4 linked regions of the Arabidopsis thaliana genome follow. The protein of the gene in region 2 interacts with the protein of the main gene of each other region in a pairwise test. Each region holds a gene or a part of one and is shown on either strand. Other genes may lie near its edges.

The links.
Region 1: the proteins of RGLG4 (region 2) and GRXS17 interact in a two-hybrid assay, tested with the Arabidopsis thaliana proteins (one study listed by BioGRID).
Region 3: the proteins of RGLG4 (region 2) and UBC30 interact in a two-hybrid assay, tested with the Arabidopsis thaliana proteins (one study listed by BioGRID).
Region 4: the proteins of RGLG4 (region 2) and ATUBC2-1 interact in a two-hybrid assay, tested with the Arabidopsis thaliana proteins (one study listed by BioGRID).

What each region holds. Positions count from the first base shown.
Region 1 is NC_003075.7:2,515,677-2,523,867, forward strand, and holds GRXS17 (thioredoxin family protein), read right to left. Parts: upstream 4,387-8,191; 5' UTR 4,249-4,386; coding exon 4,078-4,248; intron 3,996-4,077; coding exon 3,921-3,995; intron 3,427-3,920; coding exon 2,206-3,426; 3' UTR 1,920-2,205; downstream 1-1,919. Other genes in the region: AT4G04940 (transducin family protein / WD-40 repeat family protein), read right to left, coding at 257-500, 609-812, 906-1,006, 1,141-1,168, 1,251-1,376; ALN (allantoinase), read right to left, coding at 6,625-6,756, 6,858-6,956, 7,095-7,205, 7,281-7,391, 7,464-7,619, 7,703-7,829, 7,918-8,057, 8,157-8,191. UniProt on the Arabidopsis thaliana protein: May only reduce GSH-thiol disulfides, but not protein disulfides. Participates probably to the maturation of iron-sulfur proteins and to the regulation of the redox state of the BOLA proteins.
Region 2 is NC_003070.9:29,858,830-29,867,140, forward strand, and holds RGLG4 (Ca(2)-dependent phospholipid-binding protein (Copine) family), read left to right. Parts: upstream 1-1,661; 5' UTR 1,662-1,982; coding exon 1,983-2,177; intron 2,178-2,424; coding exon 2,425-2,509; intron 2,510-2,596; coding exon 2,597-2,737; intron 2,738-2,814; coding exon 2,815-2,928; intron 2,929-3,000; coding exon 3,001-3,098; intron 3,099-3,170; coding exon 3,171-3,250; intron 3,251-3,341; coding exon 3,342-3,447; intron 3,448-3,526; coding exon 3,527-3,654; intron 3,655-3,767; coding exon 3,768-3,885; intron 3,886-3,963; coding exon 3,964-4,020; intron 4,021-4,110; coding exon 4,111-4,194; 3' UTR 4,195-4,487; downstream 4,488-8,311. Other genes in the region: CYP79C1 (cytochrome P450, family 79, subfamily C, polypeptide 1), read left to right, coding at 1-343, 435-708, 964-1,334; AT1G79390 (centrosomal protein), read right to left, coding at 4,636-4,815, 5,247-5,447; CHX2 (cation/H+ exchanger 2), read left to right, coding at 6,163-6,321, 6,424-7,407, 7,631-8,311. UniProt on the Arabidopsis thaliana protein: Possesses E3 ubiquitin-protein ligase in vitro.
Region 3 is NC_003076.8:22,726,135-22,734,129, forward strand, and holds UBC30 (ubiquitin-conjugating enzyme 30), read left to right. Parts: upstream 1-2,880; 5' UTR 2,881-3,109; intron 3,110-3,598; 5' UTR 3,599-3,621; coding exon 3,622-3,691; intron 3,692-3,862; coding exon 3,863-3,990; intron 3,991-4,129; coding exon 4,130-4,234; coding exon of another isoform or gene 4,235-4,267; exon of another isoform or gene 4,268-4,498; intron 4,499-4,686; coding exon 4,687-4,830; 3' UTR 4,831-5,181; downstream 5,182-7,995. Other genes in the region: AT5G56140 (RNA-binding KH domain-containing protein), read left to right, coding at 33-118, 476-621, 1,034-1,147, 1,224-1,340, 1,423-1,566, 1,649-1,798; AT5G56160 (Sec14p-like phosphatidylinositol transfer family protein), read left to right, coding at 6,310-6,316, 6,404-6,686, 6,770-6,869, 6,954-7,220, 7,301-7,378, 7,532-7,636, 7,721-7,770, 7,886-7,985. UniProt on the Arabidopsis thaliana protein: Accepts the ubiquitin from the E1 complex and catalyzes its covalent attachment to other proteins.
Region 4 is NC_003070.9:17,027,077-17,034,885, forward strand, and holds ATUBC2-1 (Ubiquitin-conjugating enzyme family protein), read left to right. Parts: upstream 1-4,134; 5' UTR 4,135-4,260; coding exon 4,261-4,290; intron 4,291-4,389; coding exon 4,390-4,493; intron 4,494-4,583; coding exon 4,584-4,686; intron 4,687-4,949; coding exon 4,950-5,013; coding exon of another isoform or gene 5,014-5,066; exon of another isoform or gene 5,067-5,430; intron 5,431-5,596; coding exon 5,597-5,685; intron 5,686-5,795; coding exon 5,796-5,891; 3' UTR 5,892-6,193; downstream 6,194-7,809. Other genes in the region: AT1G45063 (copper ion binding / electron carrier protein), read right to left, coding at 6,259-6,577, 7,020-7,809. UniProt on the Arabidopsis thaliana protein: Accepts the ubiquitin from the E1 complex and catalyzes its covalent attachment to other proteins.

The sequences.
Region 1 (8,191 bases), on a different chromosome or scaffold from region 2:
GAAACATGTATGGACAATTCTAATTCATGAAACAATGGGTGCATAGATGGTAAAGCTATGTAATGGAAAAATAAATATTTAGCTCCACTTAAAGACAAATGGACGAAATTATTTTTGGTCACTACACTCATAGGATATCTATCAGCAAGAAAAGATTGATAAACTATTATCCGCTACGAAATTAGATTTAAAAGGTAATAAAACCAAGAAGCGCTCAAAGATTTTACAAATAGAACTACAGGGCTTAGGTGTTTACCTGTACTGAAAGACAAAGCAGTAACAGCACCTCGCGAGGCATGTTCAAATGTTACGATCTCTTCGTCCAATTTTATGTTATGTACATGGATCTTTCCATCAGCACAACCAATTGCAACAACATCCAGGGCAGGGGATGAAACACAACTGGTGACAGATGAACCCCAACCCTTAAACTGATAGAGCATCTTCTTAGTATTAATATTCCATAGCTGCAGCGGACCCTCTTGGCTCCCTACAAGAACCTACCAATGTGGTTCCAAGTAAGAGAAACATGCAAAGAGTTAGAAAGGCTTGTCAACAGAAGACACCAGGGGAAAAAAAACTGAAATCCTGAACCAAGTATGACTCACCTTGTTGAGATAGGTATCTGGGTGAACAATAGAGGTAGGGGTAAACTTTCCAGTAAGCTGAAGATTTCCAATTGGAGCTAGATGTTCTTCGATTCCTTTGAATGCCCATATGAACATATTTCCTTCCACGTCAAGACTAAGCACATGTTCTCCAAACACCAGTAGAAGATCAACTTTAGCAACATGTTTGCTCCAAGTTGCTACCTATAGATATACCCACAAGAATTCCAACTATAAACAAAGTACTCATAGATATAAAAAAAGCAGCAACTTAACTATAGTTACAATGAGATATACCTGATGAGCACGCCTAAAGACAGCGATTTCATTGCCAAACGCAACAAATGTGTAGTCTCGGTAAGAAGCTAAAGCTCTAATTTTCTTTGGAAGCTGAGGACCTTTAAGATAACACAAATTAGATTATAAGAAAATTTACACTGCATAGACAAAACCCAATTCTAAATGCATGAATTTGAGTAAGAGAATGATTGAAAGGACAAAACTTTAGGTTTCAGAAGAAGGAAAAACTTACTGATTATGACTAGATTGAGCTTGGCACACTGCAACAAGAGAACCAAATTAACAACAGAATCGAATGAATAAAGAACACGCAAGTGAAACTATGAAGATTGGGAGCGTTACATTATAAATCTGGAAAGCTTTGCCGACGCTGACGGTGACGAAAGTCTCGGTACCCAATCGCTGGACGGAGAACGGAACCGTACTCGTTATGTAACCTATTGCTCTAAACGGTTCGAAAATTCCCATCTTTCGAGTTCGAACAAGAAATTAGGGTTTCCTCGGAAAAACGATTTTAGGATTATCAAATCAAAGAAAGGTTTTTTAAGAGCTTGAGAGAGAAAACGCGGCGCAGGAGCGATGGAGGAGATACAGCAAACAAGACCTTTGGGGTTTAGGGTTTAACGAAATTTCTTTGTCCGAATTTTAATTTTATTTTCCGGTTTAAGTGTCCGCTCGGTTTATACAGGTTCTTTATTTGGTTTGGAGAATGTTAAATTTGGTTTGGTAAAATTATGGTTCGGTTTTGGCTAAAAGTCATTGAAATGTAAAACCAAAACCATTTTAGTTTAATATTTAACTAATTGTCAATATCAGTATCAATTTTAAAATTATGATGACTTTTGGTTTAAATCTTGTTTAAATGTACAAAGTCTCGGTTAATGCTCGATTGCAGTTTGGTCTAAACTCTAAACAAATGATTTCCATTCGGTTTGATTCTAAGAAATTTGAGTTTAATCACACAAAATCCCAGCCGTCGGATCTTAAGAAACTCTGTAACATAGAAAGATTGGTGTTAATCCTAGCCGTCGGATCAAGCTTTCTTTGTTTAAACCACTCTTTGTTTTGTTACTCAGTCTAAAAGCAAATGTGGTCAAGATAACCATAAATAAAGATTATGTTGATACAAAGAGAGAAAAATAGTTATGAATCTAATAGACTCAGCAATAGAAATAACAAGACAAAGCTTGAGAAGCAACAATATCAATGTTTGTAACACCTAAAACATATTATTACCATAACTGAAATGTTCTCTCTCACCAAGGCAAACCAGCAGACAGAGACTTGTATATATTACTTACTCGGATAGAGTTGCTTTGAGATCACCACTCTCACTTAGCTCCATAATGATATCACATCCTCCAATTAACTCACCTTTGTAGTATAGCTGAGGAAAAGTTGGCCAGTTTGAGAAATTCTTAATCCCTTGCCTTACTTCTTCATCAGTCAAGATATCAAACGATCCGAAACTCACGTTTTCTCCTCTCAATGCTTTCACAACTTTGGAGCTAAATCCGCATTTCGGTTCATCTGGTGAACCTTTCATGAATAGCATTACTTCCGAGGAATTGATCAGTGCCTTCAATCTATCTTCAAGACTCTGTTCTCCAGTGATCCCTTTCTCGGTCAAGACCTTTTTCAGCTCACCGCTCTTTTGCATCTCCAAGACAATGTCTGATCCACCCATAAGCTCGCCTTTCACGTAAAGCTGAGGATAGCTTGACCAGTTTGAATACACTTTAAGGCCTTGGCGAACTTCGTCATCTAAGAGGATATCGAAACTCCCAAACTCGATTTTTTCTTGGTTGAGGATTTCAACCACTTTCCCACTGAACCCACACTTTGGTTCTTCTGGTCTTCCTTTCATGAACAGCATAACTGGTTTGGAATTGACCAGACCTTCGAGCCGAGCTCGGAGGGTCTCACTTAAGCCTGTGTTTCCTGAACTAACCCCTCCTCCTTTTCCAGCTTCATCCTGACTTTCTTTTGAACCAACTGTCGTGATCCCAAGATCTTTGAAAGCATCTTTTAGTTCACCGCTCTCGTGCATCGCTATTGCGATATCAGCTCCACCAAGAAGCTCTCCGTTGCAGTACAGCTGAGGAAACGTTGGCCAGTTAGAGAATTTCTTCAAACCCTCTCGCACTTCGTTATCCGATAGTATGTCAAAACTTCCAAAATCAACGTTAACCTCTTTCAAAATGTCAACTACTTTCCTGCTAAACCCACACCTAGGCTCTTCAGGAATACCTTTCATGAATAACATGACAGGGTGAGAATTAGTGAGCTTTTCCAAACGGCTCTTGAGAGCATCGGCGGTAGATACAGGCTGAGCTCGGTCTTGTAAAGAAGCTTTCGCATTCTCCTTCACAGTTTCAAGAATCGTTGGCCCAGCAGCCAACCCTAAGCTTGCAGGAGCAGCAGGCTCCGCAGAAGTACTAGAACCAGCAACTTTGCCAACCTTATTAGCTAAACTTGATGGATCTGCACCCTCAAGTGTATCCACAGTTTTACCATCCTTCAATAAGAAAACGAATTCACAGTCAGAAGAAAGTAACAACTTTCAGAACAATCATTACAGTGCAGTGACAAAGATTCAAGCTTTGAACACACTCTCAATCCTATAAAGACAGAAAATTGCAACCAACCAATTAAAACAAAGAATCAATAAGTCTGGAGCTAAATGGATAGGCGAACCATCTTCTTCTACTACCTGATTAGATAAACAGCTTTCAGTAATCTAACAGAGACGCAAACTAATCAAAACAAAAACCCTAAATCCTAAACTTTCGATCAAAACATAGGGACAAAGATTCAAACTTTTGAACACACTCTCAATGCTATAAAGACAGAAAATTGCAACCAAACAAAGCAACATAAAGAATCAATAAGTATGACTTCATCAATGTCTTCTTCTTCTACCAAATTAGACAAACAACTTTAAGCAAAAACAAAAACCCTAAATCCTAAGTTTTGATCAAATCATAGGGAACAAAAAAAACGTAACTTTACCTTGAAGAAGACGAAATAAGGCACAGCAGCAACAGAGTAAGCCTCAGATATCTCAGGATGTTCCTCAGCTTCAACCTAAGAAGATAAAACCAATAACAGTCAAAAACCTCATTGAAAGTGATAAAATTTTGAATTGGTCAAGAGAACAGAGACGAACCCTAAAGAAGTGAGCACGAGGGAAATCAGTAGCGAGATGAGAGAAAACTTGATCCATCTGCTTCGAAGCATCACACCAAGAAGCCCAGAAGTGAAGCACGACTGGTGCGCCGCTCTGGCGCAAGTTATCAAGCTCCGCCTTTGAAACGATATCCTTCACCGTACCGCTCATCTTCGAAGAGGGAGAAGGATCTCTTAACACTTTTTTTTTGTGTTGTGATTTACCAATTTATTATCGAGCAGAATACACTCTGTTGCTGGAGAAAGAAAGGAGATTTATGTAAATATAACAAAATAAAAGGACCTAACGATACAATTAGGGTTTTTGTGTGCCCAATGTGATGCTAAAATTGCTCACTTATGTAATTTCTTTTTATAAAAATAGTAAAATTATATATGTCAGCGGAAGGAAAAAAAAATTGGAAATTAAGTAAGGTAAAAATGTTAAAATTCTAGGTGATAACAATCTTTAAAAATAAAATAATTTTGAAAAATATTAGATACATTTAAATTAAAACTACTAAAAGTAAGTTTGACTAATAAAATCTTAATCCTATTTTTTTCTTTCTAAAATTAATACTAATTAGAGGAATTGTATATATCAATCCTCATCGAATTGGATTCTCATAAAACAGTCTAAGAATTAGGTTACAATTCTTTTTTTCTCCTTTGTTTTGTATGTGTGGAATTGTTTAATTCTGTTATATTAAAAATCCACAATTATTTTAGCATTTGTATTTTTAGTTATTTTATTATACTATCTTTTTTTTTAAATGATATAATATATAAGCTTACATCATTTAGATAATTGATGCATCTATTAATTTTTGTGTAACATCACTATTTAAAATGATACAAAATTTACATCAATGGAAACTGATACTAGTTAACGACTAATCATCGACTATAAAATGTGATGTAAATGTTTACTTAATTTGTCAAAATCCTACATTTCTCCCACAAAAAAAGAGGTTTCATAGTTTTCTTACATATAGTGACCTTGGTTTTTTGGTGGTGTAAAAAAATATAAAACTTAGTATGCAAAGTTTGCCTTCATATTAATTAATGAAATTACATAATACTTTTTAAAAACAATTAATTGAAAGTCATTTTATTTAATTAACATCGATTATCCTACTATATTATTTGGGAAGTACATTTTAAATGTAACCTTTATTTTTGTAATTAATTACATGATAATGCCATTAGAAAAATTTAATCAAAAACAAAACTCTTTAATGACGTCATTAAGGTTACCAAAACTTTGATAAATATAACGTGGTCTTACCTAGATATTCCTCTGGGTATTCTTGTGATTCAATTATGTTCACGTCTGATCGGCGAAGACGTTTAATAAGGGGTTTGTTCTCGGTGAGAAACCTTTTCCGAACATAAGCATCTACAGATCGGATGTAGAACCCACGTTGAGCCATAGTTTGTTTCATATTGTCAAGAACCGTTTTCAAGCTCAATTTCTTAGGGATGTGAACATATTCTACATCCCACAATTCCTTAAGAAAAAAGAAAAAAAAGTATACTGATCCGAAAACAATTAACAAAAAGCGAACAATATACTACTACATTACCTTCATAGGCTGCAATCCACCTCTATTAGTGACCACGTTGGTGCTTAGATCTTGCATTGGAGGAAATCCTTTTGGATGAGGAGTTTTTGATTTTGATAAAAACTCATCTCTACCACGTTCAACTTCTTTCTCTTCCTGTTTCTTCACACTGCGTCTTCCCTTTCCTCCAGGTTTTCCTCTTCCTCCAACCATTGTTGACAGAATCGGCGCAAAATGAGGGTTCAGACGAAATGATGGAGGTTTGTACGTATTCTACACCCTCGGTGATTTATTATATAAATATCAATTTAAGAGAATAACCTACTCAAATCACTAACTAATCCATGATTATTATATACTCATACTTTGAGTTTGGATTACAAAAAAAATATTCGAGTATGAAAAAACTATTAAAATGGTTTTATTGAAAAATCATGTAATATTAAAATAAATTTAGTAATAGTACATTAAATATGTAAAATAAAATAATATAAAAATAAATAATAAATGTATCATTAACCTATAAATTAGAAGTTGAAGAGCTTACATTAATTATTTAATAGACACATGACAAATATATATGATTTTGACCAACTTTCATATATATGATTTTGATAAACTGATGCAAATACTTAGAACACTTACAAAAAGTGATTTAAAAAGATAACATCTTTTTTTTTAGTTGACTCAAATTAACATTAGTTACAACAAGCAATGCAAATATTATGTATACTTTTAAATTATTTGCATCAACAATATATACATCATTTACTTAAGCGATATAAATTATTTGCATCAACAATATATACATGAGTCCACTAACCTTAAAGCCAACAACAAGATTTAGAGAGTCTTAAACTTACAATTGGCAAAAAAGACTCACTCATTACATCAACCATCTTGCAACATGAGAGCAACTCTTAATCGCATATTTACATTTGTTTAAATGGTGCAGATCAAGATCTTTTAAATCCCTTTTTAAGTTAAGTAGTTGCAAGTTGCAGAGACCCGCAAGCATCAGAAGCATGCTTGCCTTCTCCAAAAACCAAGTTCCCTCTCACAAATGTCGAAACCACTTTGCCTGATAATCTTCTTCCCAAATAAGCTGAGATACTCTATTGTACACCACAAGAAGCAAACATAACATAAAGATTACACATTCGTGTTATTCGAGCTTAACCATTAGCTATCTTTCTAGAAAAAACTGTGTACTTACAGGGTGTTTGAAGTGAATTGGATGATCTTCATCTACATCAAATTCGGCTTCAGGTTCCCACACAACAAGATCTGCGTGTTTTCCAACCGTAACCGCTCCCTATAATTAAACCATTACTTATAAGCTGCGATAAATGGACCCCGAATCCTAATAAAAACACGTCTATATTATGCCAGTGTGCTGTGTATGGACAAAAAAGAGAATACTGAAGCTGCGTTTTTTTTTATAATAACGAACCTTAGAGTGTAGTCCAGCGAGTTTGGAAGGCCTATCACTCCACCAAGAAGTTACCTGCTCGAGCGTTACTCCATACTTTTTTCCATAAGACCATGTGATAGGAAGAACAAACTGCAATTGGCTCTTCCATGAGTTTTTTTGTGCTCTCACAGTTTCTACATATTACATTTTTAAGACTAAACGAACCTGTAAAGAAGATATCCCACCCCAAGCTTTCAAGAAGTTGCCATCACTCATAAGTTTGAGTTCAGGCTTTGTAGGTGAATGATCAGAGCTCAGCATATCAATGTCTCCTTCCTAATCAAATCAAAACCTCAGAATCAACGAGTAAGGTATCACAACAAAGATTGCGTAAAATATATATTATACCATCAAAGCTTCCCACAATTTTTCTCTATTTGCCGCATCACGTATAGGAGGGGAGCATTTGAAACGAGTATCACCTTCTGGAATCTCTTCGGCTGAGAAAGCTAGGTAATGTGGACATGTTTCAACAGTAACACTGTCTCCTTTGCCTTTTGCTTCCTTTACTCCATCCAAAGACAAAAAAAATATGTAATGAGATACAACCAAATTCTAGTGCTTCTACTGCTTGAACTCTTGAATACCTTTATCAAATCCAAGGAAGAACTGGCATCAGATAAATGTACAATATGAAGATGAGCTCCTTCTGCAGAACCACCAATTCTTGTGTTTTCAGTAACCGATAATAGGTTTCTGATTGCTCCCTCCTCCCTAATTGCTCAAATAAATATTCCTTTCAGGTACAATGATGACTCTGTAGGAACTTATATATATAGAGTGAAAAGATGCAATATCTCACCATGAAGTAGGCCTGGTTTTTAAATAAGTCAGATAAGAACGAGGATCATTTTCACTACCATCTTCAATCTCTAAGTCTCTCTCGATCTCTGCGTGTACAAGCAATGGTCGTTTGTATTTAGCTAATACAGATAGTCCTTCCTGCATAAACAAACAGTATCAGCGAGACAAGGGCCAATGAGGTTTTTGTAATAACTATTGAATCATGAGAGAAGGATCATAAGACTCAAGAAACAAAACCTTTATATGAGTGATGTTTGTCATTGGAAAATCGT
Region 2 (8,311 bases):
GAGTCTCGGACTTATGGAGAAAGAACATTTTGACGCAATTTTCGCGGCTCTTGATTGTTTCTTTAGCTTTTACGTAGCCGATTACTACCCTTTCTTAAGAGGATGGAACCTCCAGGGAGAGGAGGCTGAGTTAAGAGAAGCCGTTGATGTGATTGCTAGGTACAATAAGATGATTATCGATGAGAAGATAGAGTTGTGGAGGGGGCAGAATAAAGACTACAATCGTGCGGAGACGAAGAATGATGTTCCTATGATCAAGGATTGGCTCGACATTCTCTTCACTCTTAAAGATGAGAATGGGAAGCCGTTGCTTACCCCGCAAGAAATCACACATCTCTCTGTGGTTCGTGATAGAAATATACTCATATAATTACTACCAATTAGTTTGTATATTATATATCTGATAAGTTATGGTTTCTTTTTGGTTTTGGCAGGATCTTGATGTAGTAGGGATTGATAATGCAGTGAATGTAATAGAGTGGACACTTGCGGAAATGTTGAACCAGAGAGAGATTCTAGAAAAAGCGGTGGAAGAGATCGATATGGTTGTCGGAAAAGAAAGACTTGTTCAAGAATCCGACGTACCAAATCTAAACTACGTCAAAGCTTGTTGCAGAGAGACCCTGAGACTTCACCCTACCAATCCTTTCCTTGTCCCTCACATGGCACGTCATGACACAACTCTCGCTGGCTATTTCATCCCAAAAGGTATCTCATTTTTCCCCAAAATTTATGCATTTAGGCGTATTTGACTCCAACTCCTTAAATGTAGAATCAGGAATTCTAACTATATTTATTTTTGCTTGATTTGAGCAATATTTTCATATTAGAATATTTGTTCCTTTGATTTATTATTTTGGACTGAAAAGTGAAAATAAGTAGATTGTGACATACGAATCTTTCAAATTATTATTTTATTTGTTTATTAACTTTAATATATTGATTGTTTGATGTGGATCACAGGCAGTCATATTCTAGTGAGTCGTCCGGGTGTTGGTCGAAACCCTAAGACATGGGATGAGCCACTCATCTACAGGCCTGAGCGCCATATAACCGGCAACGAAGTGGTGTTGACTGAACCAGACTTACGACTTGTTTCATTTGGAACTGGTAGACGCGGCTGCGTTGGAGCTAAGCTTGGAACGTCCATGATTGTTACGTTGTTGGGTAGGCTTCTCCAAGGGTTCGACTGGACCATTCCTCCTGGTACGACGGACAGAGTCGAGCTAGTCGAGTCAAAAGAAAATCTGTTCATGGCTAATCCTTTGATGGCTTGTGTGAAGCCCAGATTAGATCCAAACATGTACCCGAAACTCTGGACCGGTCCAGCTTGATCATACCGGTTAACGGCACCACATTTCAATTGCTATTGTCATGTATGAGTAAAATTTGAATAAAGTTTTTGTCTTGAGGAAAAGTTGAAGAGGAATATAGCCCATAACGTTCATAAAAGGCCCAGCCCAGTATTGTTCTGCCGTTTTAATTTGAGCAAAGTAAGCTTCAAGTAAAGAAACGGGTTGAGTGCAAAAATGGAGAAATTAACTTGCAAGTTGAGATTAGCACATAAGAAGAGTATCTAATTCCATCTTGTTCACAAAGTCATTCTTTTAGCATTAATGATCCTATATTTATATCAAATCTCATAAGATCTTCAGTGTATAATATATAGTTTAATTTTTTTCTAGGTTTTCGTTCGAACTCATGTGGGTTCAGTAAATAAATGTTTAAGTCCCCATCTGGCCGCGTCAAAAATACTTAGATAACAACAATTAGTGGTTGACATAGAAAAGTAATGATTGTTGCCGCGTAGAATGAAATTAATAAAATTATAAAGAACAGTGAAGCAATAAATGTTTCCTTGGCGTCTTGAAGAGTAGTCTTCTTAAATATTCCAGCCCAAAAAAAAAAAGATTCTATCCATTATCAAGAGAAGAAAAAAAATCTGAATTCCAATTCGAAGAAGAAGAAGAAGAAGAAAGGAGATGACTATGGGGAATTTCTTAAAGAGATTTGGAAGTGGAAAAAGCAGAAGCAGTAGAAATATGACTCTGGGAACGACGTCGTCTCAATCTCATGAACCATCACCGTCGGATCCTTCACTCTCCCTTGCCGATAATACCAACGCCACCAAGAAGAAGTACGCTCTCATCCCTGACCGCTTCTCTTCCCTCGACCAGGTTCTCTTCTTTTTTGTATCTCTCAATTTCTTGTGTTGACTTGACTTTTGGTTCACCATGTCTTCTGCTACTTCCATGTTCTTTGAGTTCTTCAAAAGTCTAATAGATGTATATGATTATTTTTTTTCTCCTCCATTCATTCGTTGACATTGGGACATAAAATGATTTTGAGTAAAAAAATTGTCTGGAAACTAATTAGAGATGGAGAGTTGTTACTGAGTGTTAACTAGTGAATGGTGTTTAAAAGGTATCAAAAGCTCTAAGAGAAGCTGGTCTTGAATCATCCAATCTCATTCTCGGAGTTGATTTCACAAAGAGCAACGAGTGGACTGGTACCTTCAGCAAATACAACTTATTGTTAAATTCACATATATATTTTTGCAACTGTAAACAAAAAAGTGGTTAACGTTCTGTTTCAGGGAAAACTTCTTTCGATGGAAAATGTCTGCACGCGCTCGGCGAAACTTCGAATCCATATGAAAAGGCGATTTTTGTAATCGGCCAAACGTTGGCTCCTTTTGATGAAGACAATCTCATCCCTTGTTTCGGCTTTGGCGATTGTAAGTTTTTCTTTCCCAAAAATATCATCTTCAGTTCACTCTCTGTTTCTAAGACTCTGTTTTCTTGCACTATCCAGCAACAACTCATGACGAGGAAGTGTTCGGTTTCCATAGCGACAATTCTCCATGTCATGGCTTCGAAGAGGTCTTAGCATGTTACAAGAGAATTGCACCCAACTTGCGTCTATCAGGTCTTTCTTTGAAAATCTAAATACTACCTTCCATAGCTTTATCACCAAATCACAACCTTCCGTGTTCAAAAGGGCCAACGTCGTATGGACCGCTCATCGATGCTGCTGTCGACATTGTGGAGAAGAACAACGGACAATTCCATGTTCTGGTGATTGTTGCAGATGGACAGGTAAAGTTACAAGCAGTTAAGAGAAACAAAGTATGATACCAAAACTTAAAAGGCTACCTTTTGAATGTTAAGGTAACGAGAGGTACGGATATGGCCGAGGGAGAACTCAGTCAACAAGAGAAAACAACCATCGACGCGATTGTAAATGCAAGGTAAAAAAATGCAGATTCAGTTTTTCATTTTTCGCAACTCGATTTGCGGTATCTAAACAAGCCTTTTTCGAAATTCCTTTATTATCTACAGCTCGTATGCTTTGTCGATTGTTTTAGTCGGTGTTGGAGACGGACCATGGGAAGACATGAGGAAGTTCGATGATAAGATCCCTAAGCGTGAATTCGACAACTTTCAGGTATCTTCCCAGTTTCTGTGCTATTTTCCATCTATATTCTCTGCTTTGAGCATCTTCTTGATCTCTGGTCTATGCATAGTTTGTGAATTTCACAGAGATTATGACGAGAAACTCACCAGAGTCTGCCAAAGAAACTGCTTTTGCTCTAGCTGCTCTAATGGAGATTCCCTTTCAGTATCAAGCAGCCATCGAACTCCGCTTACTCGGGTACTTCCATAAGTTCTCAGCATAACAGAACTACCGTCTTTCTGCTCTATTTTTTTTTTTTTTGTCTAATTGCTTCTGCTGGTCCCTGTCCACTTCTGCACCCGTCTATAAAGGAAGCAGACGGGCTTAGCGAAGACAATAGTTCCGAGGCCACCACCAATTCCGTACACACCTCCAACTAATGCTGAACTACCATCAACTGCATCACCTGCATCACCTGAACAAACCCAGGTCTCATAATTTGTATACTTTACTATTTTTCTGCCTTGTCGAATCAACTCCAATCTCATATGGTTTTCCGTTTAACAGAGTTGCCCGATTTGTCTGACTAACCGAAAAGACGTGGCTTTCAGCTGTGGCCACATGGTAAGTTTCACCGATTGCTTTTAGTTTACTCAAACCCATTCATTAATCAACAACCAGTTTTAACTTACCTTTGCAATTTTCCTTTTGCAGACTTGTGGAGATTGCGGATCCAAAATATCAAATTGCCCGATCTGTCGAGTAAGGATCACGAACCGGCTAAAGCTTTACACATGATCAATGGCCACGAACTTTTTTTCTGACCACGGCTTTACACGTGATCAATGCCAACAAACTTTATCTCTGCACATAACAAATCGCTTGCACATAGCCATCTCCTTTGTAGAATCTACAATTTGGTTTGCCAAGTGTTTCTGACAATGTTCCACAATCAGCGTGTACCATGTAATTCTGTATGTACTGTAAAACATTAACTTTGCAAACAAGAATGAAGAAGCAATGTACAAATTACAAAACATAAGTTTTACATTTTATTCATCATAACAAAAGGTTTGAAGTGATTGACATTGTAGCCGTTTGCATAGCACAAAAGTTGTGTCGCTAGATGCCGGTTTCAAAAACAAAAGATATTACGGCCAGGAAACACGCCATTTTTGTATCGACAAAAGATTCGAGTGAGAGGCATTCACTAACATTGACTCTTAAAATAATTCATCCTTACTGAGTTTTGGTTGTCACCGTGTCATCTGGCTTTGGCATTGGTTGGATTCTTTGATAAGGCTTCCTGGTAAGAGTCTCTCCCCTAAGAGCAGCAACGTATCTGTCGTTTGTATCCTGCTTCTGTTTCAACTCACCAAGATATTCAGCTAGCCTCTCTTGGTTTACTTTACCCATCATCTAACAATACAAAAACAGAAATGTATTGTTCATCATAACACAAAAAGATTGAAGATTAACAATAAGCCTAAGGTTAACATACGGCTGTGATCAATAAACTTCCAATTGAATCGACATTGTGAAGCAGAGCAAGAACTCAGATACATGAAATTCCTTGTTAACACAGAACAATGGATTGGTGTATTAGCAACAAGAAAATGCAAATGCTCAATTCAACATATCGAGGCCTAAACACCTCTAACCTCTAGGTACCCAATCCCATAGGAGCTTTGCAAAGTAGCAGAAAGAATCATCATCAAGCAAAGTTCTACTCATCCTCCAAGAAAAGTTCCACACATCAAGCAAGACAACTATAGGAACTATGTACGAACAAATTGTAACCATCAAGTTCAACACCGATTAGCATCAATAGAAGAAAACCAACTACATACGAGAGTATCTGGGCGAGCAGATTTACGGAGGCGGGCTTCGAGCTCAGGGTTACTGGAATTGGTGACCTGCATAACTCCATAGCCAATAACGCCAGGAATGACACCACATAAAGCAGCGAACGTGAAGAAGAAGGATCTCGAATCTCGCGTCTTCATCACTAGCCATCTCCATGTATTGCTCTTCTCATACATGAACGACATCTCTCTCTCTCTCTCCGTTCTTCTCACCTGGGGTTTTTAGGGTTCATGATTTGACTTACAGGTTCGCACTTTAGCGTTAATTGCAAAGAACTCCTATTTGATTATTTATTTACTTTTTGGACCCCATATTATTCTCATGTTTCGTTTGTATCCTGAACAGTATGTGTATTATAGTTCAGCCCCTATAGTTTGTTTTTTATTATGCCATGAACACTCTAGTTTTCTTTTGGTTAAACAACACCCTGTAAGGCTAAGAGGTAATTTGCAAATTGTCATTTTTACTAGCATCTGTATTATGTTTTACTTGTTTACAAAACACAAAAATTAACTTCCCATATATATACAAAAGATAAGAAATATGTTATGGACTTATGGTGTTAAATCTGTTGATTATTGACCATATAATAACCTAATTATAGTAAACTTTTTGGGTAAAATTTCTGATTACAGTCAACTTAATCCGTTTTCCAAGGGTTGAAATAGAGGCGTAGAGTAATTGAAGGACGTTCAAATAATTGTAAACACATCTATCAACTCCAACCAAATGTAAACTAATTTTTTTTTTTTTAATTTCTAAATTACTTGTGAAAATTATAAATTCTTGTTTTAGAAAGCATTTTCAGTTTTTTTTTTAACATAAGGTTTAATTTTCATAAGCGTATCATCACCATCACGCTTGAAGAATGCTCATGATCATCGAATCAAGAAGAAGAAGATGGATCCAAAGTTGTTGCTTTGCTTACCTCAAGGAGATGAACTGTTTAATCCCCTTAATACCATGTTTATTCAAATGGCTTGCATTCTCGTCTTCTCTCAATTGTTTTATCTCCTTCTTAAACCCTGCGGCCAAGCTGGTCCCGTTGCCCAGATTCTTGTAAGGAAATTTCTTTCTTGCGTTACAAGAATCACCCGGTTTTTTGTAGTGGAAAATGTCTAACAAGTTTTTGTTTTGTTATCCATATTGGATATTTTTTAGGCTGGGATTGTGTTGAGTCCTGTTTTGCTCTCAAGAATACCTAAAGTTAAGGAATTCTTCCTCCAGAAAAATGCAGCAGATTATTACTCCTTCTTCTCCTTCGCTTTACGGACATCTTTCATGTTCTTGATCGGTCTTGAAGTGGATCTACATTTCATGAGAAGAAATTTCAAGAAAGCTGCGGTGATAACCTTGAGCTCATTCGTGGTTTCCGGCCTCCTCAGTTTCGCTTCCTTAATGTTATTCATCCCTTTGTTTGGGATCAAAGAAGATTACTTTACGTTTTTCTTGGTTCTTCTCGTTACCTTGTCTAACACGGCATCTCCTGTCGTAGTCCGTTCAATCGCTGATTGGAAACTCAACACATGTGAGATCGGACGGCTGACAATCTCATGTGCGTTGTTCATCGAATTAACAAACGTGGTTCTCTACACTATAATCATGGCGTTCATCTCTGGAACTATCATACTTGAACTCTTCTTGTTTCTTTTGGCAACCGTAGCCCTAATATTGATCAACATGGTCTTAGCTCCATGGCTTCCAAAGAGGAACCCTAAAGAGAAGTACCTCTCAAAGGCTGAAACTTTAGTTTTCTTCATCTTCCTTCTCATCATCGGTATAACTATCGAATCCTACGATGTAAATTCCTCGGTTTCTGTTTTCGCCATTGGCATAATGTTTCCACGACAAGGAAAGACTCACAGAACGTTGATACAACGGCTTAGTTACCCGATTCACGAGTTTGTTCTTCCGGTTTACTTTGGTTACATTGGATTCAGATTCAGCATCATCGCGTTAACCAAACGCTTTTACCTCGGTATAGTTATTATCGTGATTGTAACCATAGCTGGGAAATTTATTGGTGTAATAAGCGCTTGTATGTACCTGAAGATCCCTAAGAAATATTGGCTTTTCTTACCCACCATTCTCTCTGTTAAAGGCCATGTCGGTCTTCTTCTTCTAGACTCCAACTATTCCGAAAAGGTACGTTTACTTATATGATTCCGCTACTTTTATACCATTCACATTAAGTCTTGTTCAATTGTAGAGTGTCTGTTATTGCACACCCACAACAAAACAACAAAAAATGTTACACATGTTTTAGGGTCTGGTATATTTTGGTCAAGAACAGACGAACAATTAACATATATAATAACAAAAACTTATGGTTCTTTTTTTCCCATTCTTTGTCTGAATCTACCTGTAGAAATGGTGGACCACAACTATTCATGATATGATGGTGGCTGCTTTGGTGATAACGACGCTAGTAAGTGGTGTTCTGGCATCTTTCTTGCTTAAAACAAGAGAGAAGGACTTTGCTTACGAGAAGACTTCGCTTGAGTCTCATAACACGAACGAGGAATTACGCATTTTATCGTGCGCCTATGGAGTCCGTCATGCTCGCGGTGCGATCTCTCTTGTCTCGGCCTTGAGCGGTTCTCGTGGAGCCTCTGATCCGTTTACACCTCTGCTTATGCACCTTGTACCCCTCCCCAAGAAACGAAAATCGGAACTGATGTATCATGAGCACGACGAAGATGGAGGCAATGCGAATGGAGATGACGAATTCGGGACCAACGAAGGTTTAGAGATCAACGATTCGATTGATTCGTTTGCTAAAGACAGCAAAATCTTGATCCAACAAGTGAAGCTCGTGACTCAGATGCTTAATATGCACGAAGAGATCTGTAACGCAACAGAGGATCTTCGAGTTTCCATTGTATTTCTTCCGTTTCATAAACACCAGAGAATCGATGGGAAGACTACAAACGATGGGGAACTGTTCAGACAGATGAACCGTAATGTTCTAAGGCACGGTCCGTGTTCCATTGGCATTTTTGTGGACCGTAACATAACCGGATTTCAGCAGCCGCACGGGTTTGATTCT
Region 3 (7,995 bases), on a different chromosome or scaffold from region 2:
TTGGATACTCTGCACAATTTCTGTTTTGGCAGGTATCTTTCAGAGTTACTTGCAGAGCGTCATAAGCTTACTCCATTCCTGCCTGTGCTTCCACATGCATTTCGGCTACTAAACCAAGGTGAGCATTACTGTTTTTGTTGTTTATTATTTGTATTTTCATCTCACATAATACTTCATTCTTTGCTTCAGATTCATGAAGCTATAATACAGTTGATAAACTCTTAAACAGTACTGCTAAGAGAGACCTAATTGTTAGCTATTAGAAGTAGATCACGAAATGACTAATTCTATATTTCTTATACTGACTTCATTCTATTTAACCAGAGTGTATTTAACTAGAGTGAGAGCAAAAATATATTTTAAGCTAACTCAATTAACTATGCTGTCTCTCCATTCATTGGTGTCTTGGTGACTGATTTGTTGACTAATTCTAACTGGTGCGTCTTACTCTTGCAAATTGACATTTTTGGAACAGAAATTTTGCGTGTAACCACACTGTTGGAGAATGCTACAGTTTTAAGTCAGAGTGGGCTTGACCACCCTAGCCCTCTGGCTTCTGGAGGGATATTTCAGAATGCAAGAGCTGACATGAATGGATGGGCCTCCCAGTTTCCATCAGAAGTATGACTACTAACCATTAACATAACTCTCTAATTCATACTACTGCAATAGAAGTTTTATTGACTTAAGTTATAATACTGACATAACATATTTGACTGCTTTTAGTCCTAGTTTATCATGACAGGTAGGCTAACACTTCATATCCGTAATGTTTGTATGTTCATACCTTAGATCAACACTAATTAGATACTCCACTATCCTCACGAGTAGGATTGAAATTAATGCTATAATTTTCTCATATATCTGTGGTCACTGTATGCATATTATTAGGATATAACAGCTACAGGTTGAAATGCCTTGATACAGTGACCACTCTCATTGAATGAAGTTCCAGGGCAAGAAGTTGCAGTATTCATGTGCTTATGCTTAAAGGTTGATCTTGCTTCTAATTTTGTTGGTTGATCATTTGCAGAGATCTGTTCCATCATCTCCGGGACCAAATTGGCTTAACTCACCTGGTAGTTCGTCCGGTCTCATCGCCAAGCGTACAATCAGGGTCGATATTCCAGTCGACAATTATCCGAATGTATGAACTTTCATTTCTACACTGAGATATACTACTTCCTGGTTGGAATGTAACTCCTTAATTTTCTATATGGCAGTTCAATTTTGTTGGTCGCCTCCTGGGTCCTAGAGGAAACTCCCTGAAGCGAGTTGAAGCAAGTACTGATTGCCGTGTTCTTATAAGAGGAAGAGGAAGTATAAAAGATCCAATTAAGGTATTTATTATTAAACTTTACAACTTCATTTGTATCTACATTTCAATGTTTGTACAAGGTGTTAATATATTTCTTCTTGTAGGAGGAAATGATGAGAGGAAAACCGGGATACGAGCACCTAAATGAACCACTTCATATCTTAGTGGAAGCAGAATTACCGATTGAAATAGTCGATGCACGGCTCATGCAAGCTCGGGAAATACTTGACGATCTTCTTACTCCTATGGTTTGTTTTTAGCTCTCCCCCTCCCTTTGATTTTAAACCAGTTATTGTTACAAAGTTTTCACACTCGGTTTCTGTTTTATAGGAGGAAACCCATGATATGTACAAGAAACAACAGCTGCGCGAGCTAGCATTGCTCAATGGAACTCTTCGTGAAGAAGGATCTCCAATGTCCGGTTCTGTTTCTCCTTACAATAGCCTTGGTATGAAGAGAGCCAAAACAAGAGAAGGGTAAAAACCATCGAACAGTTTGGCTGTGATCATAAAGCAATATGAAACCGATCCAAAAGTCGACACAAAAAGGCCATACCACTCTTGACGACACGGTACTGTCTCTTGTCCTTGGGGTAGAAATGTTGTATATATGATTTATGAAATGTGTTTGTCAGTCTATGTATCATTGTCCCGGAGAGAGATCAGATGACAAAATTGCAACGGAAACACAAGAGCTGATGAGTCTCTGTCTCTCTCCGAGACTTTGATTTTGTTTTTGTTTATGTTTTTATGTCTGGAAAGTTGGGTTCCAACAGTTTTCTTTTAAGTTTTTTGTTTATTTGTTGTTTTAGCAAAAAGAAAACATTAAATCATGATGATGGTTTGTGTCTGGTATTGGTAATGATAATAATCATAATATGTTTTGGATACATAAACGTCAAAGTAAAGCTTGTTTCAATATGATATGTGGAATTATGTAAAGCAAATGTTCTGTTCTCGAGTATTTTTCACATTTTTATTACTGGAAGTCGACATTTTCTATTACATGTCAACTCTGTTTTCAACATTGAAAGATTACTTGATTAAACTTTAAACAGATCTATATATTTAAGTAAATCGGTTAGTATACCCATATGTCAATCGGTTTAATGGCCTGTGACCCTTATAACCTAGTTTCTTGTGATGCAAGGTAGCTTTCCTTTACTGTTTTACAAAAAAGGCCTATTCAAAAATTGTTATGTACTTTATATAAAAGATAATTTTAAAATCCTATCGAATTTGGTAAGAGTAACATCTTACATATGAAATCTACCATTCACAAATACTACTTTATTAGTAATATGCAAATGCATAACAATTTTTGTAATGTATAGATTTTATTTGCATATAAGAAAGTGTTTTTCTTTTCATATAAGAAAGTTTTTTAAGAACAAAAGGAACATATGTCAAAAAAAATTGTGATAAGTTTTCCACTTTTCCCTTTTCCCCTTAAGGTACCAAATCTTTGCAATCTGAAATAAATATCATTTTCTTTTGATTTCCTGTTTCTTTTTTGAAAATTTCTTGTTTAATCCTTCTTCTATTTTCTTTTTCCAAATTTGCATAACGTTTCTTATTATGGACAAAAGAGTCAATGGGCTCCGTCAGTAAACGATTGGGCCTTATTATAGCCCATAAGTACAGAATCTAGCTCGCTACGTGGCAAAGCTTCACCGCTCGAAAGAGAGGAATCTATATAAACCGTATCGATGCTAACAAGTTTCATCTTCAAAACAACCCCTTGAGATTTCCGAAGATCATCAAATCCAAAACCCTAGAAACCGAACAAAAGGTAGGTCAAAATTAGCTCCGATAAATCTCGATTTCGATTTGAATCATCGTTACTCTTAGGGTTTATTCGTTTCCCAGTTCTTGATCTTCGTCGTTTGATTCTCTCGCGGTTTTGTTTCCTTGCGTCGATCCATGTGTTTTTTCTGTTATCTTGGTTCTAGAATATTCTCGTACCTACTTCTGATGATTTACCTTTAACTGATGCGTAATTGCTTGATCTGTTTCTGAATTGTTCGTTGATTTTCTCTCTGTTTGATCGAATTCTGATCGGATTGTCTCTTGGGCTTGAGTGTTTGATTTCGAGATTTTTCTGGTTGATTTCTTCAGGAGGTGTATCTTAGGCTAATTATCAAAGCTGATTTGCATAAAGTCTTTCCTTTTAGGATAGCTATGTTCTTGCTCCATATGTTAACTGGTTTTTGCTGTGTACTGCTTTTGCATCTGTACTTGTAGCAGTATAGTAATTTTTTTGATTTGATTTTGTTCCTAGCTAGCAGAAGCTAGGACTATTCAATGGCGTCGAAAAGAATTAACAAAGAGCTTAGGGACTTGCAAAGAGATCCTCCTGTGTCCTGCAGTGCAGGTGAGTGTTTTAATCTATGATATCTACTGTGAAATTTAAAGAACCACTTTGATAGATTCAGTAGATGATGTAGCATTAACCTCAGAATCAGTTTTAGGAGAATGTTTTTTTTTTTGTCCTTAAGATACATTATGAGCTATTTAGATTTTAATGAATTGGTGATGTTATTAGGTCCTACGGGAGATGATATGTTCCAATGGCAAGCAACTATCATGGGTCCAGCAGATAGCCCGTTTGCCGGAGGTGTGTTTCTTGTTACCATTCACTTCCCACCAGATTACCCTTTCAAGCCACCAAAGGTAACAGAAGTTTTTTGTTTTTTGTTATGTTTATTTGTGTAGCTTAATGAATTTGTTCATCCACACCATTATGATTTAGAGAGAGTGTTCAATCAAGTAGGCTTTTTGTGGCAATAAACCTTCATTGTTTATGATGCAGGTTGCCTTCCGGACCAAGGTTTATCACCCAAACATCAACAGTAATGGAAGTATCTGTCTTGACATTCTGAAAGAGCAGTGGAGCCCTGCACTTACCGTATCCAAGGTGATCAAATTGTTTCACTTCCTTACTTTTTAGTATAGCATTAGTCTATTTTCCACCACACCTTCTTGTGACCATGTCTTAGTTAAATGGTCATGTCTTAGTTCGTTCTCTGATGTGATTATCTTCTTTGACCAACCTCTCTTTACATTGGTTTTATGAACAAACAACATCGCAATCCCTTGGATATAGTCAAGGCCATTATCATAAAAGATTGAGCTCTGTTATTTGTACCCTTGTCTAAATGCTGTGATATGGATTAGTCAAGTAAATTCTAGTTATCTCTTTTAATAGGAGTGTTACATTATGTTATAATGTTTAAAGGCCTTCATTATCGCTGTTGATGACATGTTATCTAGATTTAATTTGTTTAATGACTCTCATTAGCGAGACAATGATAATCTTTTATTTGCATATAAGCTGAAGAACTAAAGTTGGTGGTGCAATTTCCGCAGGTTCTTCTGTCGATATGCTCATTGCTGACGGATCCAAACCCTGACGATCCTTTGGTTCCTGAAATAGCGCACATCTACAAGACAGACCGAGTCAAGTACGAGTCCACAGCTCAATCCTGGACTCAGAAGTATGCAATGGGATGATAACAAGCAATAATACCCACCACCAGTACATTGCGTATTAAACAGGAGAAATAAGAAAGAAAGAAAAAAACTCAGTTTGGCTTTTACTTTGGCTACTTTTGCTTATTAGTTTTTTTTTTTTAATTATATCTTGAAGCTGTGTGTTGGGTGTGTACATGAGCTTTATGCCTTATTTGAAACATTGAGATCTTGCAAATGCTTTTAAGCCAATAATCCGCTATCATGATGAGTCCCTTGCTAGTAGTGTAGAAGAATATCACATAAGTTTGCAGATAATAAAACATTTGCGCATAATAGTGATTGTGAAATTAGATTGGAGTTGGACCAACACATTTTGGTGATCGTGACAAGTTTATACGGTGTTAGATTCCTATTGGCAAACTACTATAAAAGTCTTGAGAATAGAATAACAACTGAATATGACTATTGACTTGATCCATTTGTACGGTTTTCTCTTTCTTTTTTATTTGAAAATTTCAAATTGGGTTTGGAACAAGTTATATTTAACTGGTTTACGAATTTAGCTACTTATTCGGTCTTTTTCATAGCTGACAAAGATACATAATGTATATAGCTGTTAAATAAAAAAATGAATTCCGTGTGACTTCACCATTAGAACGCGTTTTTGGTTGGGTGAGGTCTGATGTGCATCAGAAACAAGTGATTATTTGGGGGGAAATAAATAAATTCGAAGAAGAAGTGTTTATAAATTTAAATCAAAATGTTGAATTCGGTTAAGTTTGGTCGACCATACGAAGCTTCAAATATTGATGACATTTAAGAAAGAAACGCATGAGGTAACAGTGTAACTCAACAGTTAATGCGAAATACACGAATACACGCGATGCAAAAACCGCAGAAGAAAACGTGCGCAAGCAATTTATTACCAAATTGATCCCAAAACGACGTCGATTCGATTCACATAAACCAAAACGACGTCGGATTGATGCAATCATATAAAAAAGAAAGGCGTGGAAGGAGTTAATAAAACTTGGAATGAGACATGTCGGCCATTTCATGGTGTTAAGAAAACAGAGCCCTCAAATACTTTTTAAAAAGAAACAGAGTGCACCAAAATCCTCTTAATTTTCTCAAAATTCAAATCTCTCTACAGATCATCTGAGAAATTTTAGATTCTGGAATCTATTTGATTGTCTCTCTCTACAGATCTCTCTGTATATAGAAAGAGGTATAACTGTCTATCGCCATCTTTATCTCCTTGGCTTTTTCTCTCTGTTACAAACTATTCTTCCTATTTTTAGATATCTTCTCTCTTTGTAATTTACCTTTCGTTAAACACTTTAAGGATTCATTAGGGTTTTTGTCGATTTCCTTCTGCATTGCTTTTCCTTCCTTTTGGAGGAATTTTTAGGTCTCGGAGTTTTGATTTCGACCTTTAAATTTTGCTTCAGAGGAGAGATTCTATCCGTTACAGTTCGTGAATTTCGCGTTTGAAGAACTTGAACTTGATTCTGAAGAATGTCAGGTAAATTTTGAGAAGAGATAAAATCGATCAGTGAAATGATTGTGAAATTAGCTTCGTTTTTGATGTATATGGAATATATTGCTACAGGTCGAGAACAAACAGGAGAGAAACTATCAGATTCTGAGTACATAGAAGAAGAGCCACGGCGTTCTAGAATTGGGAATTTGAAGAAGAAGGCTTTTAGTTGTTCAACTAAACTTACACATCCTTTGAAGATGAGAAAAGGCAAACGTAAAATCGATTTCCAGATTCCTTTGATTGAAGATGTTAGAGATGAGAAAGAGGAGAAGCTTGTTTCTAAATTGCGTCAACAACTTCTTCAGAAAGATTTGTTGCCTCCAGTACATGATGATTATCATATGTTGTTGAGGTATGAAATGAGCTACCAAAGTTCCTTCTTTTCTTATATACAACTGGAAAGTTGAAGACTTTTTTATTTGTGTCTCTGTGTAGGTTTCTGAAAACAATGGAATTCAAAATCGAGAAAACTGTCACGGCATGGGAGGAAATGCTTAAATGGAGGAAAGAATTTGGAACCGATCGCATTATACAGGTACGAGATATGGTTTCAGCTGTGGTTTCAGAGTAGTAGCATCTTGCTGTGGAACTAACAACATTTTACAAATTGATAAAATAGGATTTCAATTTCAAAGAGTTGGATGAAGTGACAAGGCACTATCCTCAAGGGTATCATGGAGTTGATAAAGATGGGAGACCTATTTATATCGAGAGACTTGGAAAAGCTCATCCTGGTAAACTTATGGAGGTTACTACTATAGAGCGATACTTGAAGTACCATGTTCAAGAATTCGAGAGGACACTTCAAGAGAAGCTACCTGCGTGTTCAGTTGCAGCTAAGAGACGAGTTACTACAACTACTACAATACTAGATGTTGAAGGCCTGGTATGGTAAACTCATGTAGATGCTTTAAAGGAACCACATGGTTTTTCTTGAATTATAATATTGCTCTTGTGGTTGTTCAGGGTATGAAGAACTTTACTCCTACCGCTGCTAATCTCCTGGCCACCATTGCTAAAGTTGATTGCAATTATTACCCTGAGGTACTTAACTCTTTGATGAATACACTTTTTGTACTAGAAGCTCTACTCCAAGTATAAAAGGGGATAATATTTGTGATGAATCCAATGAGCCAAGTGGACATGGATGTTTCGGTTGCTCTAAAAGTTTGTAATCATGGTCTCTGACTCTTGCAGACTTTGCACCGAATGTTCATTGTCAATGCAGGGATTGGATTCAGGAGTTTTCTTTGGCCTGCCGCACAGAAGCTTCTTGATCCGATGACTATTGCAAAGATACAAGTAATGACTATCGCTCTGGTTTTACTTTTAAGTATATATCCTCGTTTCTGTTATTAGCAACCACTCATTACTTGTGTTACTTAGGTTTTGGAGCCAAGGTCCTTGTCAAAGTTACTTGAAGCAATTGATTCCAGGTTAATTTTTTATAGCTCACCTCATAGAGTTTTTGTTTTGTAGATAGCCTCATTCAAGTTTTGGTTATGGCATGCTAACATTAGTATTTATTGCTTTTCTTTCCTCTCTGTACAGTCAACTTCCAGAATTCTTGGGAGGCTTATGCAAATGTCCTAACGAGGGAGGGTGCTTGAGGTCTAACAAAGGACCCTGGAATGATCCTGAAATAGTTGAGGCATGTCCCT
Region 4 (7,809 bases), about 13 Mb from region 2:
CTTGAGTAGTTATCAATGAACACTGCATAATAACTGAATCCTTGATTTGATTTAATAGGTCAAGGACCCCAGAGATCACAGTGTATTCTCTCTAGAGGTCTAGTAGCTACAAAAAGTTGAAGCAGAAAAAGGGAGTCTAACACTTTTCCCAAGCTGGCAAGACTCACACACCATCTTGGTACTTTTATTTCCAACACTGATAGATTTGTTTGCAGATAGCACTTGAAGGACTTGAGAGTGAGGATGCCCCAGTCGTTGATGCCATATATCTTCACTCGCTCCTTGCTGTCTTGAAGAGTAGAGTGCTTGAACTGGTGAGTCCTTCAACACATAAAGTCCCTTACTATGCTTTCCCTTTGTCAACAGTTTCCTTGTTGCCTTATCATAGATTCGAACATCATCACAGTCAAATTGAAATACGCAGGGATAGTCATTGGTGAGCTTGGAAACTGACAAAAAGGGTTTAGAGATATCAGGACACACAAGAACATCATTTAAAGGTAAGTTACCTGAAGTAGAAGGAAGACTGCCTAATCATGTGTGTGTTATGGGAAGAAAGTTTCCATTTCCCACCATTACTGAGTCACTTCCTTCATACAGCTGAGTCTGACTGAGCTTGTGAGGTGCATTGGTGATGTGAGCAGTAGAGCCAGAGTCACCTACCCATTCACCACCGGATTGATCTGTGACATCAGTTATCCTGAGTATTGCAAGAGCTGCTGGCAGATCCTCATCTTGGTAGCTGTTGTTGAACCGATGCCAACACTTCAAAGCATGATGACCAGGTTTGCCACAGATCTGACAAATGACTCTTTCTCCATTTGAGTTTTGTGAAATTTGTTGATGAAAACCTCTACCACGTGTGGAGAATGAATCTTTGCTTTTTCCACTCCCAAATCTTTAGTTGCCTTTTCCTCGGTTGTTGTTGTTGTTGTAGTAACCAGAGGAGTCTGATCTTGAAGCATTGAAAGCCATGTGAGGTGAAGTTTCAGTATCAGGACCATAGCTGTTCAGCCTATCAGCAAATCCTGTCAGCCTTGAAATCACACTCTCAAAGGTAGGTGGTGGCTGAGTATCCATTGAACCTTCTACAGATGTTTTGATAGGCTCATACTCTCTACCTAACCCATGAAGTGCAGCAAATATCTTCATCTGTTCACTAACAGGACTGCCTATGGAAGCTAGCTGTTCACAAACCCTCTTTATCTCCTTAAGGTAAGTTTCCATGGATTTATCCTGTTTATCTATGGTTTGAAGCTTTCTCTGTAGCTCAAAGAGTCGTGATGAAGATACCTTATTGCAGTGTTGAGCCAAAGCATTCCAGACTTGATAGGAGGTGGCACAGTTGACAACTTCCTGCATGATGTCTTCATTCAGAGATCCCAACAGCCAGGCTCGGACTACTTGGTCAGATCTGTTCCAGGTATGATACTCTGGATTTGGTACCTCAATAGTAAGACCATCGATGTTGTTGAATGGAGTTGTTGCAGGAGGAGGCTTGAGTGACCCATTGACAAAGCCTAGAAGGTTTTGGCCAGAAAGAAAGGACTCAAACTGTGTCTTCTTAAGAGAGTAGTTTTGCTCATTGAGCTTAACAGTGACACAGTTGGAGATGTGAAGAACAGGAGGTGAGTAGAGTTGGATAGATTGATCCATCATAGACCGCTGTGCTCTGATACCATGAAAGTAAGAGCAAGACGGCTACTTTAGGTAATGTTTGAGTGACTTTCCTTTTGATATTATTTCACTTGAGTTCTAGGTTACATCACAAGTTCCCTTTTATAGCTAAACAATGCTAGGGTTTCAATCATTGTGAACTGACAGATGTCTCAATCTTGTTATGCTACGCAGGTCATCAAGCAATCAAATCTGTTTTCTGTGATGATTGGAGCCGTACAACAAGCGCTCCTCTTCTCTGTCATTATTCTGGCTTTGTTCTCTTGCACAGGTGGACTTAGCCGTTGAGAAGATGAAGAAGACTTGTTGGGCTTCTCAGACTTGCTAGGCTTCTCATTTTAGTTGACATTAGGCTTGTTAGGTGAGTGGCCCAATATCCCTTTCTCTTTGCTTACTGCAACGACATCGTCTTGACTCCTTAACTCTTCAGCTACATCTGAGTTCTTCTTCGATCTTGTTTCAGATTCAGGAGCTGAAGGCGGAGCAGTAGAGCTCTTGCTAATACTTTGCTCACAAACACGTATGATCATGTAACAGTCTCCATCCTACCTTTGTCACAAGCGATGTGTTCAAATCCTTTCCAGACCACCCTCTGTCCGTGGACGACAAACCCTATCCCAAGCAACCAAATGTTGTTTTCTCTTTTCTGGTGTACTTCCCCATAAAAAGCCTCTTGAAACTTTATCCAAACCATCGCCAATCGATTTTGGTAAAGATATTGTGCTCATGGTATGAATCAATATAGATGCCAACACTGATTTGGTCAATGTTAGTCTTCTTGCAAACTCAAAGAGCAGCCTTTCCATCCCGGTAGCTTTGATGACACTTTTTCGAACAAAATAGTATTAGCGCGGAGAAGATGAGAATTCTTTAAGGATACTTTTGGGATGGTTGTATGGAAACTTGGGCTGTATGGAAAAAATGGCGGAAAGCACTTGGTCGACCAATGTTTGCCATGGGAGTTTGGTGGAGCTTGAAATAGAGGTGTGGTTATGTGTTTGGCGAATTGGAAAAATGTCGGGAAAGAGTAAAGTTTACCAGAGAATTGGGACAAGAAGTAAGCCGTGCACATAACTCACTTCGGGAGAGTATAGGTACGGGTGTGAGAGTTGAGCGAATGGTAACGTGGAGACCACCGCGGGACGAGTAGTTAAAGCTAGATACGACTGGTCCTTTCACAAGAATCCAGTTTTGACTACAGCGGGGGGACTCATACGGGATGCAACAGGTAGTTGGTGTGGAGGATTTGCTCTCAATATCGGTGTTTGTTCAGCTCCTTTAGCGGAACTGTGGGGAGTTTACTATGGACTTTACCTAACTTGGGAGAGACATATCACAAGATTAGAGGTCGAGGTTGATTCGGAGTTGGTGGTTGGATTCTTAAGCAAGGGGATTAGTGATTCTCATCCCTTGTCTTTCGTGGTACATATGTGTCATGACTTTTTATCTAGGAACTAGATAGTCTGGACTTCACATGTATATAGGGAGGCTAACCGCCTAGCGGATGAGTTAGAAAACTATGCTTTTACTTTACCATTAACCTTTCATATGTTAAAGGTTGTTCCACATGTTGAGACGATTTTTCAGGATGATGACCGCGAAATTGCGTTTCTGAGGCATGTCCGTCTTTAGTTTTTTTTGTTTTTTGGGGGGGGGGGGCGGAAGTTGTTCTCCCGGGTTGCACAGAAATTAGCGAGTAACACCTTAAACACATAAAACGACACCAAACCCGAGCACATTATCTATGAAATATACCAAGCCAAGTTAGAAGAAGAGAAACACTTTGAGGATTATAGTGATGCTTCCTTGATAGCAGGTCAAGTCGGCATCTAATAGAGTTATTAATATCCTGAATTAGAGCTGAGCTTGGCCTCGAAAAGTTATTGTGAGGTCTAGAGATTCTTTCCCTCCAAATGAGATAAATAGACGCTTGAAAAGCCAACTTAAGAATCAAAGCAATGTTCTTCTTCCTGCTAGGATTTTTAAGCATCTGACTCCTGCATCAAACAAAGATGGCAGAGAAACATGGGCCTTGCAGTGAAAGAACTCCATACTTCTATAGAGTAAGAGCAATAGAAAAACATATGTTATCTTATATTTTCCTTAATTTTATATTAATTCTTTGTAAAGTTTAATTTTCATATTTTTACTACTTTAAAAAGAAATATTTTGTTTTTTTAAAACTTAATAATTGTTTTGTACTTGTAATTGGTTTTAGAAAGATATTTTTTTATAAAAAAGGGTATTTTTAAATATAATGTCTTTTAAAAACTACAAATTTGCAAAATATTTTTATAAATGAATAATTATTAATTTTTCATTAAATTAGTACTATTTAAAATTTATAGTTTTTTATCAGTTGCAAGTGCAACATTATTAATTTATAGAGATTTTAGTGTACACTTCTATAAATAAATCAATTCATTGAGATTTTTTTTCACTATTCATCAAAAATATTAAAATTAAGAATAGTAAAAAGCTCTTCATTTGCATAAGAAAAAAACAAAAAACAGAAAACAAAAAAAAAAGACAAAGTAAGGAGGCCAGACAGCAGACCCGTCTCTCTCCGTCTCCATCTCCGCCATGACCAGCTCTTCCGCTCCTTCACGCAAGGTCGCTCTCTTTCTCTCACATGTCTTCAAATTCATGTTTCTCTTTACAAAAACTTTGATGATTCAATCTGAGAAATTGTGTTCTTTCATTCATGCGTAGGCTTTAAGCAAGATCGCGTGTAATAGGTTGCAGAAAGAGCTTTCTGAGTGGCAATTGAATCCCCCCACTGGATTTCGTCACAAAGTCACTGATAATCTTCAAAAGTATCAACCTTTATGTCTCTGTCTTTGAAATGAGTTTTTTTTCTTTCTGTGATTTTGATTTGAATGCGTATCTTTGTGTGTGATCTTAAGATGGACAATAGATGTTACCGGAGCTCCAGGGACACTTTACGCTAATGAGACTTATCAGCTTCAGGTTGAATTTCCTGAACATTACCCTATGGAAGCACCCCAGGCAAGTTTTGTTTTTTTTCTCTGATTCGTGAGATTTTGAATCAAACTGTGTTCTTTTGTTGGTTTTGGTGTCTCTTTGGTTGGCTAGAAGTCTCTCACTGATAAAATTCTTGGGTTTGCTTCTGTAGAGAGACTTTGTTATGGATGTTTCATGTTTTAATTCGAACTTATTGTAAAAAAGTTTTTTGTTTTATGTTTTGGTGTCTCTTGGATTGGAGCTACTGTGGAGGAGAATGACTTATTTTTCCCTGTTGTGTTGAGCAGGTAGTGTTTGTTTCTCCGGCACCTTCACATCCACATATATACAGCAATGGACATATTTGTTTAGGTATTGCTTGCTATCTCTTGGTTACTGTCTGCTCTGCATATGCTTATGTTTAGTTTTGATCAAAGCAAGGGTTTGTCGAATTGATATGTAGATGTAGAATCGGTTAGACTCTGCATTTCATAGTTTTCTGGTCAAACAAGAAAGTGAATATTGCTGAGTTTTAAGATATGTTGATGATTATTGATAAGTGTTATCACTCAAAACTGTTTTTATTGTATACCCCCATGCGTGTAGATCCTTTTCCTTAGTATCTATGATACTTCATTGTTTAAGATAGAGTTACTTAGACATGTTGTAGCAGCCTCTCCATGTTTGCTTTTACTTAAACGTTTACCATATGATGAATTGCATTAGAATCGTCTGTCTTAGATTGTAGGTTGTATTCTTTACCAAAACCGAAATCTTTTTCAGATATCATAGAGCTCTCATGTGTCTGTACTCATTTGCCTCTAAGTTGGACTCTAATCAAAATCCTCAAAAAGCTCTGAACCAATCTGAAATTATGCAACTCTTACTACCATTTACGACTTAGCAGTCCAATACATGGTTATCAAACTGAAAAGCTGTGTTGTTGGTTTATCAGATATTCTATATGACTCATGGTCACCAGCAATGACAGTGAATTCAGTCTGCATCAGCATTCTTTCGATGCTATCAAGTTCACCCGCAAAGGTTCTTTCTTCTTCTTCGTGTTTCCCTATTGACAAGTTACCCAAAGTACTGTGAATTATGAGGTCTGAAACTAAGAATATCAATGTGTTTTTTATTCCGCCTTATTGCAGCAACGCCCTGCGGATAACGATCGTTATGTGAAGAACTGTAAGAATGGGAGGTCTCCTAAGGAGACGAGGTGGTGGTTCCATGACGACAAGGTTTGATGCACGACCAAGATTAAAGAGAAGCCTTAATATGTTAATGATGACATTTAAAAATGTCAAAACCTAACTTTTTGTCTCACTCTTACTATGGAATATGTCAAGTGAAGAGCTCTGAATTACATAAGAGAACACTGAGAGCGGGAATCTATATTTCGTACTGAACATGTCCACAAAAAGATCAATTAATGCTAAACAATAAGTTGTCATTAATGCCAATAGTTATTACACAAATGTTTTTTTCATCCAAATGTCTCTAAAAATGTATATATACATTTATTAGGATTTTTGATTTTCTGATTTGGGTCTGTCTATTCAATAAATTTCCTCTCTGGTGGAGAGGTGACTGTCACCAACTTCTTCCCTAAGCCTAAGGGAAAGATTTGTTAGAGTTGAGCCGAATATTTCTCTCTCGCCAAATATGGTAAACTGAGGCTTGGTACGCTAATTTGAGAATGAAAGCCACCTTTTTATCCCGGCAAGGATGTCTAAGCCATCTTGCACTATCTTTAAACATCCTTGGAGGGGTAACACGTGCGTTAGAGCAGAAAAACGACCATACCTCGTGCGAGAAAGGACAATCAAAGAACACATGCTGCCTTGTCTCATCAAGCGCATTGCAGAGCAGGCAAAGTGAAGGGACCTGAATCCCCCAACTAATAAACCTATCACAAATATGCAAACGATTTCTATTGGCCACCCAAACAATGAAAGCATGAGGGGAAATATTTCAAGAGAACCACACCTAATCATACCAGTCCACTTTAGGACCAGTAGGGTGGAGATGGTGCCAAGTATCACAGGACCAAAAGTTGTTTAAAATTGATCACCTCTAAAACTCAATTGATGGAGTTTCAAGATATTTTCAAAATTGATCACCTCTAAATATTCTCACCAATCTACTTCAATAAAAAAATATTTATTAAAATAACAATGGGAAGAAACTCCATATACAGTTACATCGATGAAAAATCAGAACTAACAAATAAACAAAACTATGAAAAAAAATAAGAAAGAAGAGACTTTTAACTAGTAATTAGTTAGCAAATCTTAAACCAATCGAAAACGAAAGTAGCATATGGTTGAGTAGATGACACAGACGCTTAGTGGTGTCTTAAAATGTCTAACCACCTTGTGAGACGCTCTAAAGGTGACAACTTTGGAACATTGAGTGTTGTTCCGACCACGACTTGGAGCTTAAGACCAGCCCCACAGTGACCCGGTTCTGAGCTAATGAAATAATGGATTCCTGGTTTGGTGAGCTTGATGATATCGTGGCCTGTCTTATGCACGGCTATTGGAGAAGTCGGGTCGCAGTTTAAGAATTCAAGGTCACCGCTGATCTCGTAGACACCGTTGACTTCATTGTTGTATTCGAAAAGGAGACCGTCTCCGACATTGAACTGTTTCTCTTTACTCCAGTTGTAATAGAAATCACTGTCGTAAACGCCCCAACTTTTGGAGTCACCAACCTTGTAGACATGTCTAGAAGGAATAATCTTGCTCGGTAGTGGTAGAGGACTCGGACTCGACGGGTCATGGACGACAAAAACGCCAAGCCTCTGTCCCGATGTACATTGAGTATGGTTTGAGGTGATGAAGTAGTAAGACCCTGGTTCCGTGAAGGTTACGACATCATGTCCTGTGTTGTAGACGGCTTTAGGAAAAGAAGAGTCGCAGAATTCGTATTCCAAACCACCGGAGACTTGTGTGACGTCATTGAGGTTGTGATCGTATTCGAAGATCAAAGAATCTCCCACGTGGATCTCTTTATCCTCGGTCCAATGGTAATAGAGGTGGTCCTTGGCAGTCCATCCATCGGAGTCTCCCACTTTGTAGACGGTGGCCGAACAACAACCGAAGAGAAGTGTAAATATCACAATCACGAAGCTGAAGATCTTCTTCATTCTTGCTGTGGCCA